2 linked regions of the Bombyx mori genome follow. The protein of the gene in region 1 binds, or shares a complex with, the protein of each later gene. Links are inferred from orthologs where the notes say so. Each region holds a gene or a part of one and is shown on either strand. Other genes may lie near its edges.

The links.
Region 2: the proteins of translation initiation factor eIF-2B subunit delta (region 1) and eukaryotic translation initiation factor 2 alpha subunit are in contact, whole or in part, in a cryo-EM structure (PDB 6O81), measured with the Homo sapiens proteins. The link is inferred for Bombyx mori from reciprocal best matches to the Homo sapiens genes EIF2B4 and EIF2S1. Residues at the interface, in NP_001029288.1 of Homo sapiens: Asn245, Glu246, Glu247, Arg250, Thr285, Ser520, Ser521, Asp522; in NP_004085.1 of Homo sapiens: Met30, Tyr33, Met45, Arg55, Arg57, Arg75, Glu79, Lys80, Tyr82.

Annotation. Positions count from the first base shown.
Region 1 is NC_085111.1:2,905,819-2,910,267, reverse strand, and holds the start of translation initiation factor eIF-2B subunit delta, read left to right. Parts: upstream 1-1,353; 5' UTR 1,354-1,695; intron 1,696-1,862; 5' UTR 1,863-1,882; coding exon 1,883-1,885; exon of another isoform or gene 1,886-1,946; intron 1,947-3,072; coding exon 3,073-3,822; intron 3,823-4,143; coding exon 4,144-4,296; intron 4,297-4,449. UniProt on the Homo sapiens protein: Acts as a component of the translation initiation factor 2B (eIF2B) complex, which catalyzes the exchange of GDP for GTP on eukaryotic initiation factor 2 (eIF2) gamma subunit.
Region 2 is NC_085126.1:6,530,403-6,534,983, reverse strand, and holds the start of eukaryotic translation initiation factor 2 alpha subunit, read left to right. Parts: upstream 1-1,627; 5' UTR 1,628-1,789; intron 1,790-1,935; coding exon 1,936-2,173; intron 2,174-2,480; coding exon 2,481-2,709; intron 2,710-3,579; coding exon 3,580-3,812; intron 3,813-4,413; coding exon 4,414-4,529; intron 4,530-4,581. UniProt on the Homo sapiens protein: Member of the eIF2 complex that functions in the early steps of protein synthesis by forming a ternary complex with GTP and initiator tRNA. This complex binds to a 40S ribosomal subunit, followed by mRNA binding to form a 43S pre-initiation complex (43S PIC).

The sequences.
Region 1 (4,449 bases):
AAAAACCTAAAAATACCTTAAAAAAACCGGTAATAAACCGGAGCCAGAAATTGTAATCGGTTCACATCCCTAATCTGAGGTGTCAAATAATTTCTGAAACACTAGATTATCCAACAAACTGAGCTAAAAATATAACATAATCTGACTTATAACCCCTCTTTCCACTCTTTATGATTAGACTGCAACTAAGTAGAGCGAGGTCCAAACATAACTACCAAAATAATACACTTAATACATATTTAAGACTTAACTACCTTGCCTACACTTTGTTTTTTTCCTACCTAAGCTGATGGTCTTGGGAGGCCATTTCAGCGTAACCCTAACAAGTAGGCGAGTTCACGGGGTCACGGGGCTCAAACCTGACGACATTGCTAAAACTAACCCCAGCAAGAGCCGTGCTTCGCAGAATCTACCACCGGGTCGGCAATGCGACCCACTGAGAAGATCCGGCGAGAAACTCAGTGGGCTGTGTCTGTCTGTGGATTAAATTACTCACCGAGCCCTTCGTCGCAAGTGACGGGTTCCACGAGAACGATGACCGGTGCTTGGGGTACCTAAAAGCACCGTTATTGGATCGGGAGGATTCGAAATGACGTGTTTTGGGCGACGTCGACTGTTTACTATTCGATCCGCAGGATCGCGAATGTAATTACCGGCGGCCACGATGAGAGGATTCTCGTGTCGTGCCGCTTTTTCGAAATGGACACATATTGCAAATGCTTAGTTGTCACTGACTATAGCCAAACGTGCCACGCGCTAAAGTATTTCTTTAGGTATTCTAAAACATTAATGATGGACATATTCTAGAAACACCGTCAAGGGGAGTTCATTCATAAACCAGATAATACCGAAAAAGATCTCTGGAAACGCACGCATGATGGATAAGCGCAGTGCTTTGCAGTAGTAAGATTATTTGGGGAGACATTCGGGGGGAAAAGTTAGTTGGGAGTATCGGAGGTTTTTTGAGTCTACTATACTATTCACAAGTCAATATTATAAAGGACAAATTACGCAACCGAATGGCAATAGAAAGTGCGGAAGCGGTTCTCAGGATTCGATATTCACTGCCAAATGGATGCATTTTTGTTCCCACATCGGACATGTTAAAAATCTTTACGTGTATGCTTTAAATAATAATAAGAAAAGTGAATATGATTGTAATAATTTTTTATTGATTAAAAAATAAAGGAATATGTACTTTTGGGGTTTTATTTCTTCTTTAAAATAAGTAAAAACTGTCTTGGGTTTTTTTTTTAAAAAGCTCATTTCCAGAGGTTTTCGAAAGAAGTCGGGGTGAAATTCACACGGACATCTGACAGCACTGCTTCAGAGCGTAGATAATACACATAATGTTCAGAAAAATATTGAAGTTTCAACATTTAAACTTCAATTTCTTCGGATTTTTCGTAAACTGTCAATGTATGTAGTATGTATATTGTTTTAGGTAAATCAACAGAGATCCAGTCATCAAACATTCTTAGCTACTCACTTAATTCTTAGTGAATATCTGTGACCTTGCTCGTTCACGAAGCCCGCTATAGAAAGCAGAGTATTAAATACACTTGACATTGGCGAAATCTAAAAGGAAACGCCATAAACCTAAGAGATAGATAGATAGATAACCTGTCAATTAATAAATATTACAGTGTTTATATGCAATAGATTGATCATTTGTGACCTTAACATACCTCATTGGTAAGTAAATTAAACACTGTACGCATCTTTAAACGTTTGTGTGAATTTTTTAAGTCTGCAAAAGTATTGTTCAAACAAATGCATTTTATTAATATGCACAATTCGCTTACGTGGACTAGGATAACTAATAACTGAAATGAAATATCTAATTTTAATATCTTTTATAGCTTTCCAAGGAACAGAAAAAATGGTAATGTCTTAAATGTACAGATTTTGTATACGATTTATGAATAGAAATATTGCACTTTGAGGTTAGGTTTTATAACTATATCAACTTTTATTACAATCAAAAGTAAAAAATAAACTCATGTCTGTTTTTAATTTATTAAAATATATCATCATATTAAACAAGATTTTTTACAATAAGTAGTAAATTATTTTCTGGCATGATACAATATTAGAGCTACAGAGTGCAATATAGTAGCTATTTTTTGTATTTGTTTTATTGCATCGATAACCACTAACCAGTAGACTAGATCACGCGTAGCTTACTGTGTAGTTCCTAAATTAGCTTAATTGAATGCCCTGAGTAAAAGAGGAATGGAATTTTTTTAGATATTAGTTTAGATGTGTAAACTTTTCCACAGCCATCTGATACCAGTAACTAGAACCTATAGACAAAACAAAAAGAATGCTCTTAAGTACTTGGAAACATAATCTTAAAATTGAATTTTCTGAATATATTATTACTGTGAACTGATGATAAGCCAATAGAAAGTAATTTATGTTTGAAGTGTTGTTTGTTTCTCAATGTAATAATTAATTAGTGGCATTTACTAATTCCTGTGGTATACAAAATCTTTGTATGATTAAACAAATACTATTACTTATTAAATTAATGTACTAACCATTAAAAGTAATAATTATTTTGTAGCACCATTTAGTTTTGCGAAGTGGTTCTAGTTTATATATTACGTTTATCTCTTATTTTCATATTCAATTTATTCAATTTTATCCAATTTTATCTTCATTTAACACTTGGTGAAATAAAGCAATAAAAAAAATTTTTTTTTAAACCATTAGATCACAGTATAATGTAATATCAGAATATGAATCACAAGACTTGTACTGTTCTGAATTATTTTTGAGTTTTTATTACTGTTGCTTAATGTTGTCAATGTTGCTATGTCTATTTTAAGTATAGTGCACTTTCCCTATTGAGAATTGCATATTTCAAAGAATATATCCATATTATTATAATGATTATATGGAAAGAACCATCATAGTTGAAATTTTGACCTCATGACTCAAATAGAGATTATGACATTCACATATCTATGTTCTAGTAAATATGTAACAACAGCACTTAATTTGCAATTTAAATAAATGAAAGAAAACACATTTGAATGGTAACTAATAAATATGTTGATATGGTAGGTAGATGCTGAAAATTATCTGGTTCAACCTGAGAAACCTTTCACTGCAACTCAAAGGAGAAGAATTAGAAGAAATAGATTAAGATTTGCCAAAACAGACTGTGTAGATATCCTTTGTACGATAAATAAAATACAAAACAAAACAAAAAATAATCCTGAACAAGGACATATAGCAGTAATTGAAAATAATAAACAAGAATACAAAGTAGAGGATGCCCTCCGCTCAGTAGTCATAAAAGATTTTGACGAAAGTATATTACAAAAGATGTCTTCTAATGAAATCCCACCAAAGTCTAGAGATGAAATTAAAGCTGCTCGACAGGCAAAAAAAGCTGCCAAACTAAAAGTAAACAACAAGACCACTGAAAATCCTCAACTGACAAAAGAAATAGAGAATCTTAATGAAAACAACATAAATTCTAAACCTAAAGTAGAAAGCACAGATGAAGTAGACAAATCTGTTGTAATAAATCCTAATGCTGTAGATATAAGTACTAGTAGAGAACAGATCAAAGCAGATAGAGCTGCCAAGAAATCTGCCAAACAGTTAAAGAAAAAAGGAGCTGCCGATGGTGAAAGTAATGTGCAAAGCTCTGTAAAAAAAGAACTTAAAGAAGATGATTCTGTGAAACAAAATGAAGATATGACTGTAAAAGATGTTGTTGAAACTTTAAAAAACATAGTTAGTGTTGCCAAGGAGGTTAATGAAATTACGACAAAAGTAAGTGCCTTGGATTTGGGAGGTAAAAAGGTAATTATGTGGATGAAATAGTCATCCTTTTTCGATATTAAACTACATTAACATTGCTTCTAAATTCCTTGAATGACATTCCCAATGAAATTGAAATTATATTTGATGTAAGCTTATTTAGAACAAGAGGCTTAAAATTTGTTTACCATACTTGAATAACAAAATACAACAATAAAATTTATAACAGATATATAAACTCCATATTATGTTGCACTATATAAACTCAGAGTAACTGTGATAATATATTGTCTTTTGAATATTCGTTTAATAGATATAGTTTCGAAAACAGTGTTGACATTACTAACAATATTGATATTGTAGCAAGAAGAGACAGGCAAGAGTAAAGCAGAACTTCGGGCTGAACGACGCGCCAAACAGGAGGCTCAGAGAGCTGCCAAACAAGCTGCCGAAAAAAAAGTAGTCAAGCCTAAACTTGAAGCTCCTACAGTAAATGTGGATGTTCCGAAGAAAGAGGTAATTTTGAGACTTTTAAATTGCCTTTAACACCTAAACTGCTTTTTAGGACACTAAATCGAATAGCGGAGATTGAACTTAATGCAATGTCCATTCTTATAGTTCACTATCCCAGACATCACATTTTGTAAGCTAAATGAGGGTAGTTTGAAA
Region 2 (4,581 bases), on another chromosome or scaffold:
GGCCCAGCTGATGGTAAGTGGTTACCGTCGCTCATGGGCGTCAGCAATGCCAGGGGCAGAGTCAAGCCGCTGCCTACAAATAAAACTTCACTGATTGCATCTAAAACAGAAAAAAGCGAGTCGAATATACTGTGAATTCCTCTATTTCACTAAGCTCCCCTCATTACCATCATCTACCGCTAAGGTGTTTTTAAAACATTCATTTATAAATAATGTGATAAACTATTGCAAAGGAAATACCGAGAGTCAAAGTTCATTTCAGAGACTGGCAGTACTGGCAGAGTACTCAATCTTTGGAAACCATTTTTTTTATTGCTTAGATGGGTGGACGAGCTCACAGCCCACCTGTTTTTAAGTGGTTACTGGAGCCCATAGACATCTACAATGTAATTGCGCCACCCACCTTGAGATATAAGTTCTAAGATCTCAATATAGTTACAACGGCTACCCTATCCTTCAGACCGAAACGCATTATTGCTTCACGGCAGAAATAGGCAGGGCGGTGGTACCTGCTCGCGCGGACTCACAAGAGGTCCTACCACCGGTAAAATACTAATAATAATCGGTCTAACTACTCCGGTTATGGGATTGTAGAAACAGATTACAGAAAAATCTCAAACAGTTCTCCGCATCATGATCAGAACTGGAATAACTATTATTATACACCTAAATTAAATCCATATAGTTTATAGATTTGTTTTTCTGACCATACTAATTTGCTGCAGCGTAAATTAGCAAATGGCCAATAGTAAAATGACATTGTCAAGGATGCGTGAACGCTTACAAATATGCTATCTTCCCGGAATAATCGAGACGTAATCTTCATATTGTATGCGGAATGCGATAGGTTCATAAGAGTTTTAATTGATGTTAATTGTTGTGACAAATAACGCACGTATGCTTAATGAATTAGGCCAAGTATATGTGCGTTTAATATTTTCTTTTATTATTTATAAAACCTCACATAAGGATTTTTAATGCTCTAATGAACCTACGTCCATTTATAATTAAGCCGTTATTGGAGCCCAGAAACCTCAGGAACAGTAACTTTGGGGTGCCTTGAGGCTCCCTTGACCTCTAACACTAAGTAGGCCAAAGGAACCGCCCGTTTCATCAACTAAAAAATATATTTGAAATTGTTCAAGTCAATAACGATCAATTGAATATTCAAAGTCAATTGCGGAAACTTTGTTCTATTGAACAGAAATAGGAAAGTCGGTCAGTAATTTAATTATGTATTCAATACAATTGTTATAATGACTAATGAAAGTCCAACTTTTTTAAACGTAACTTCGACCAAAAATTCATCAATTACGGTTTTTAAGAGACCTGATACAATATTTTACGATCAGATGCCCTTTTTTACATTTTAGCCATCGTTAAACTTGCCTCTACGGGCCTAAACTTGAGTCCACTTCTGGTGAATATGAGCTGAGCGGATAATTTCAGAGAACATTAATAAATTCTAATTTAAATATGTCAACGGGTTTTGTTGCAAGTCCCGCTACACCAACACAATGGATCATACACTTAGTATTTAACATCCAACACCCAACCTTTACGACACGACTACCGCTACGTTTCATTTCACGCAAATACATTTCAACAAAGTTGATACAATAGACTTTGACTTTTTCTAATTTGTGACAGATGTCACACAACGCAAGCCCAGACAGAAGGACATGAAGCAAACGCTGAATTTCGTCAACGTGAACAAGTTGACTGTTTCATCATATTCTTTCTTTATCTAATATTTAACAGACAAAAACGAATTAAATAAATACACAAGGTAAATTAATACTGTATTCTCAATAATTAATACCAGAATTTGTGACACAAAGTTTTCATATAGGTTATAAATATTCTCAATAGTAAATACCAGAATTTGTGACACAAACTTTTCACATAGGTTATAATAAAATCAAATTATTCTAGATGCCTTTGTCGTGTCGATTTTATCAAGAGAAATATCCGGAAGTTGAAGATGTGGTGATGGTGAACGTTAGATCCATCGCAGAGATGGGAGCATACGTCCACCTTCTAGAATACAATAATATAGAGGGCATGATCTTGCTATCTGAGCTTTCCAGAAGACGTATCAGATCCATTAACAAATTGATCCGAGTGGGAAAGACTGAACCGGTTGTCGTAATCAGAGTGGACAAAGAAAAAGGTTAGATATTGTTTAAAATAATAATAAATTTTTTTATAAAATTGCACTCCATTTTTCGCTTCAGTAAAATATTACCATTTGTGCTTTGGAAAACAGGAATTAAACAAACCAATATTGTCATAAACTAATTTATCAAATCAATGTTTTATCCACTCAGTCCTCAAAGCCAATGGGTTAATATTGACATGTCATTCTCTGTATTAATAACAAAGTACACATTTAATTGAAATATGATATGACAAACTAGCACCAATCACCAATATTCCAAATGATCGCTTTTAATTTTGTTATTTCCTTCAATTCACAGGATACATAGACTTATCGAAACGTCGTGTATCTGCTGAAGATATATACAAGTGCACAGAACGCTACGCAAAAGCAAAAGCAGTAAACTCGATCCTGCGACATGTAGCAGAGCTCCTCCATTATGAAACTTCTGAGCAATTGGAAGAACTTTATAAAAAAACAGCTTGGTACTTTGAAGAGAAATATAAGAAGAAAGCCTCAGCATATGACTTCTTCAAACAAGCAGCTGTGTAAGTGTACATCTTGAGTTAAAATGATAAGGTTGGTGCTTATGTACCCCCAATTGTGGGGGCTTCGTAGGAGGTTTGGCCCCCAGACTGAAAAAAAAAAGAAAAAGGGTGCTTGTGTAATTATCATTATGTCCAAATGGACCAAAAAGTCAATTTAGTGTAGAATGAATACTACTTTTGCTTTCTTCAGCTCTCACACTCTGCACTCAGAAACTATCACACTTCAATAGGACATGAATTACTGTGTACTAGTCAGCTGCTCACAACCTTATGTATTTGTGACTTATATATTTACTAGGGCTTCCTATATGTTACCCTTGAGTAACCCTTCCCTCAAATTTCTCTAAACACTGAGCTTTACACAGTTTGAGTGTTGCAGTGGCTCAGTGCACTGTCTAACACAGCCTTTCCCAAAGTGGGCGATAACGCCCCCTTGTGAGCGCTGCAGGCCGAAAGGGTAATAGACCCAGAAAAAATGGGTGTGTAGAGGCTTGGGAGGTGATTTGTAATTTCATCTAGGAGGACTCTTAGACACAGACTCAGTTCTCTCTATAGTGGTTTTTAAGAAGATGAAAAAACGGGGGCACTAGAATATAATTAATTCTCAAAGTGGGCAGTAGACAGAATAAGTTTGGGAACCCCTGGTCTAACAGATTTGTGCTGCCAGTCCGAAGGTAGGCTAATTAGGTAGTTTAATTATCTCTATGACTATGAAAACTGAAGAAAATATTATGAACCATTAATTTTGAGAAAAAGAACTGACCTTAATCTTGTGAAATTGAAATATGTTAATACACAAAATAAAAAGTGCTATATTACCTAATTGGAACAAGAAGAAAGTTGTTTCTATGCAATATGTTAATGTTCCAGAGACCCATCAGTACTCGATGAATGTGGCTTAGATGAAGAAACCAAGGATGTCCTCTTAGCTAATATTAAAAGGAAACTGACCTCGCAAGCAGTGAAGATTCGTGCTGACATTGAGTGTGCTTGCTATGGTTATGAAGGCATTGATGCTGTACGAGCAGCTTTGAAAGCTGGTCTAGCTCTGTCTACAGTGGACATGCCAATCAAAATTAATCTTATTGCCCCACCTTTGTATGGTAAGTGTTTGATTTAATTTTCGTTTTTAGATATATTTGCACTAGATACTTTGTGTATGATAGTGTATGATAACAGCGCATCCTAAAAAGATTTGAATGTCCTAGAAAGATGGATGGACTATTTGAGAGAATATGCAAGAGAAGGGTATGGAGTTTAGAGTATGTTCTGATCACACTGTAGGATAAGTCCAAGAAGAAGATGATTGATGGACAGAAATATTGGTCATTATGTACTCCAAACCACAATGGTAGACTTATAGTAGAAATCTGCAGGTATAATTTTAGTATACACAAATTTCTTTATTAAATTTCATTAATTGTATAGAGGGATAAATGAGCTCACCCAGTGTCAAGTGTTTACCGGAGCCTATATATTTCACAATTTGAAAAACTCTATTTAAAGATTTTTTTTCTTAACTGAATTGCCCTTGTAGGCAGACGAGCATACGGCCCACCTGATGGTGAGTGGTTACCGTCGCTCATGGACTTCAGCAATGCCAGGGACAGAGCCAAGCCGCTGCCTACCGAAAATTATTACATAACTTGATTACTGTATGTCTCACTAAGCAAAGTATAATCATTTAACTAAGGTTTCTTACAGTAATGACTACCTCAACTCCTGAGAAGACTGACGGTCTCAAAGCATTACAAGACGCAATCGACAAAATTCAAGAGAACATCACAGAAGCAGGTGGAGTCTTCAACATTCAGATGGCGGTAAATTCTCAAATTCCTATTTATACAACTTTATTGGTTTAGCTATATGTTT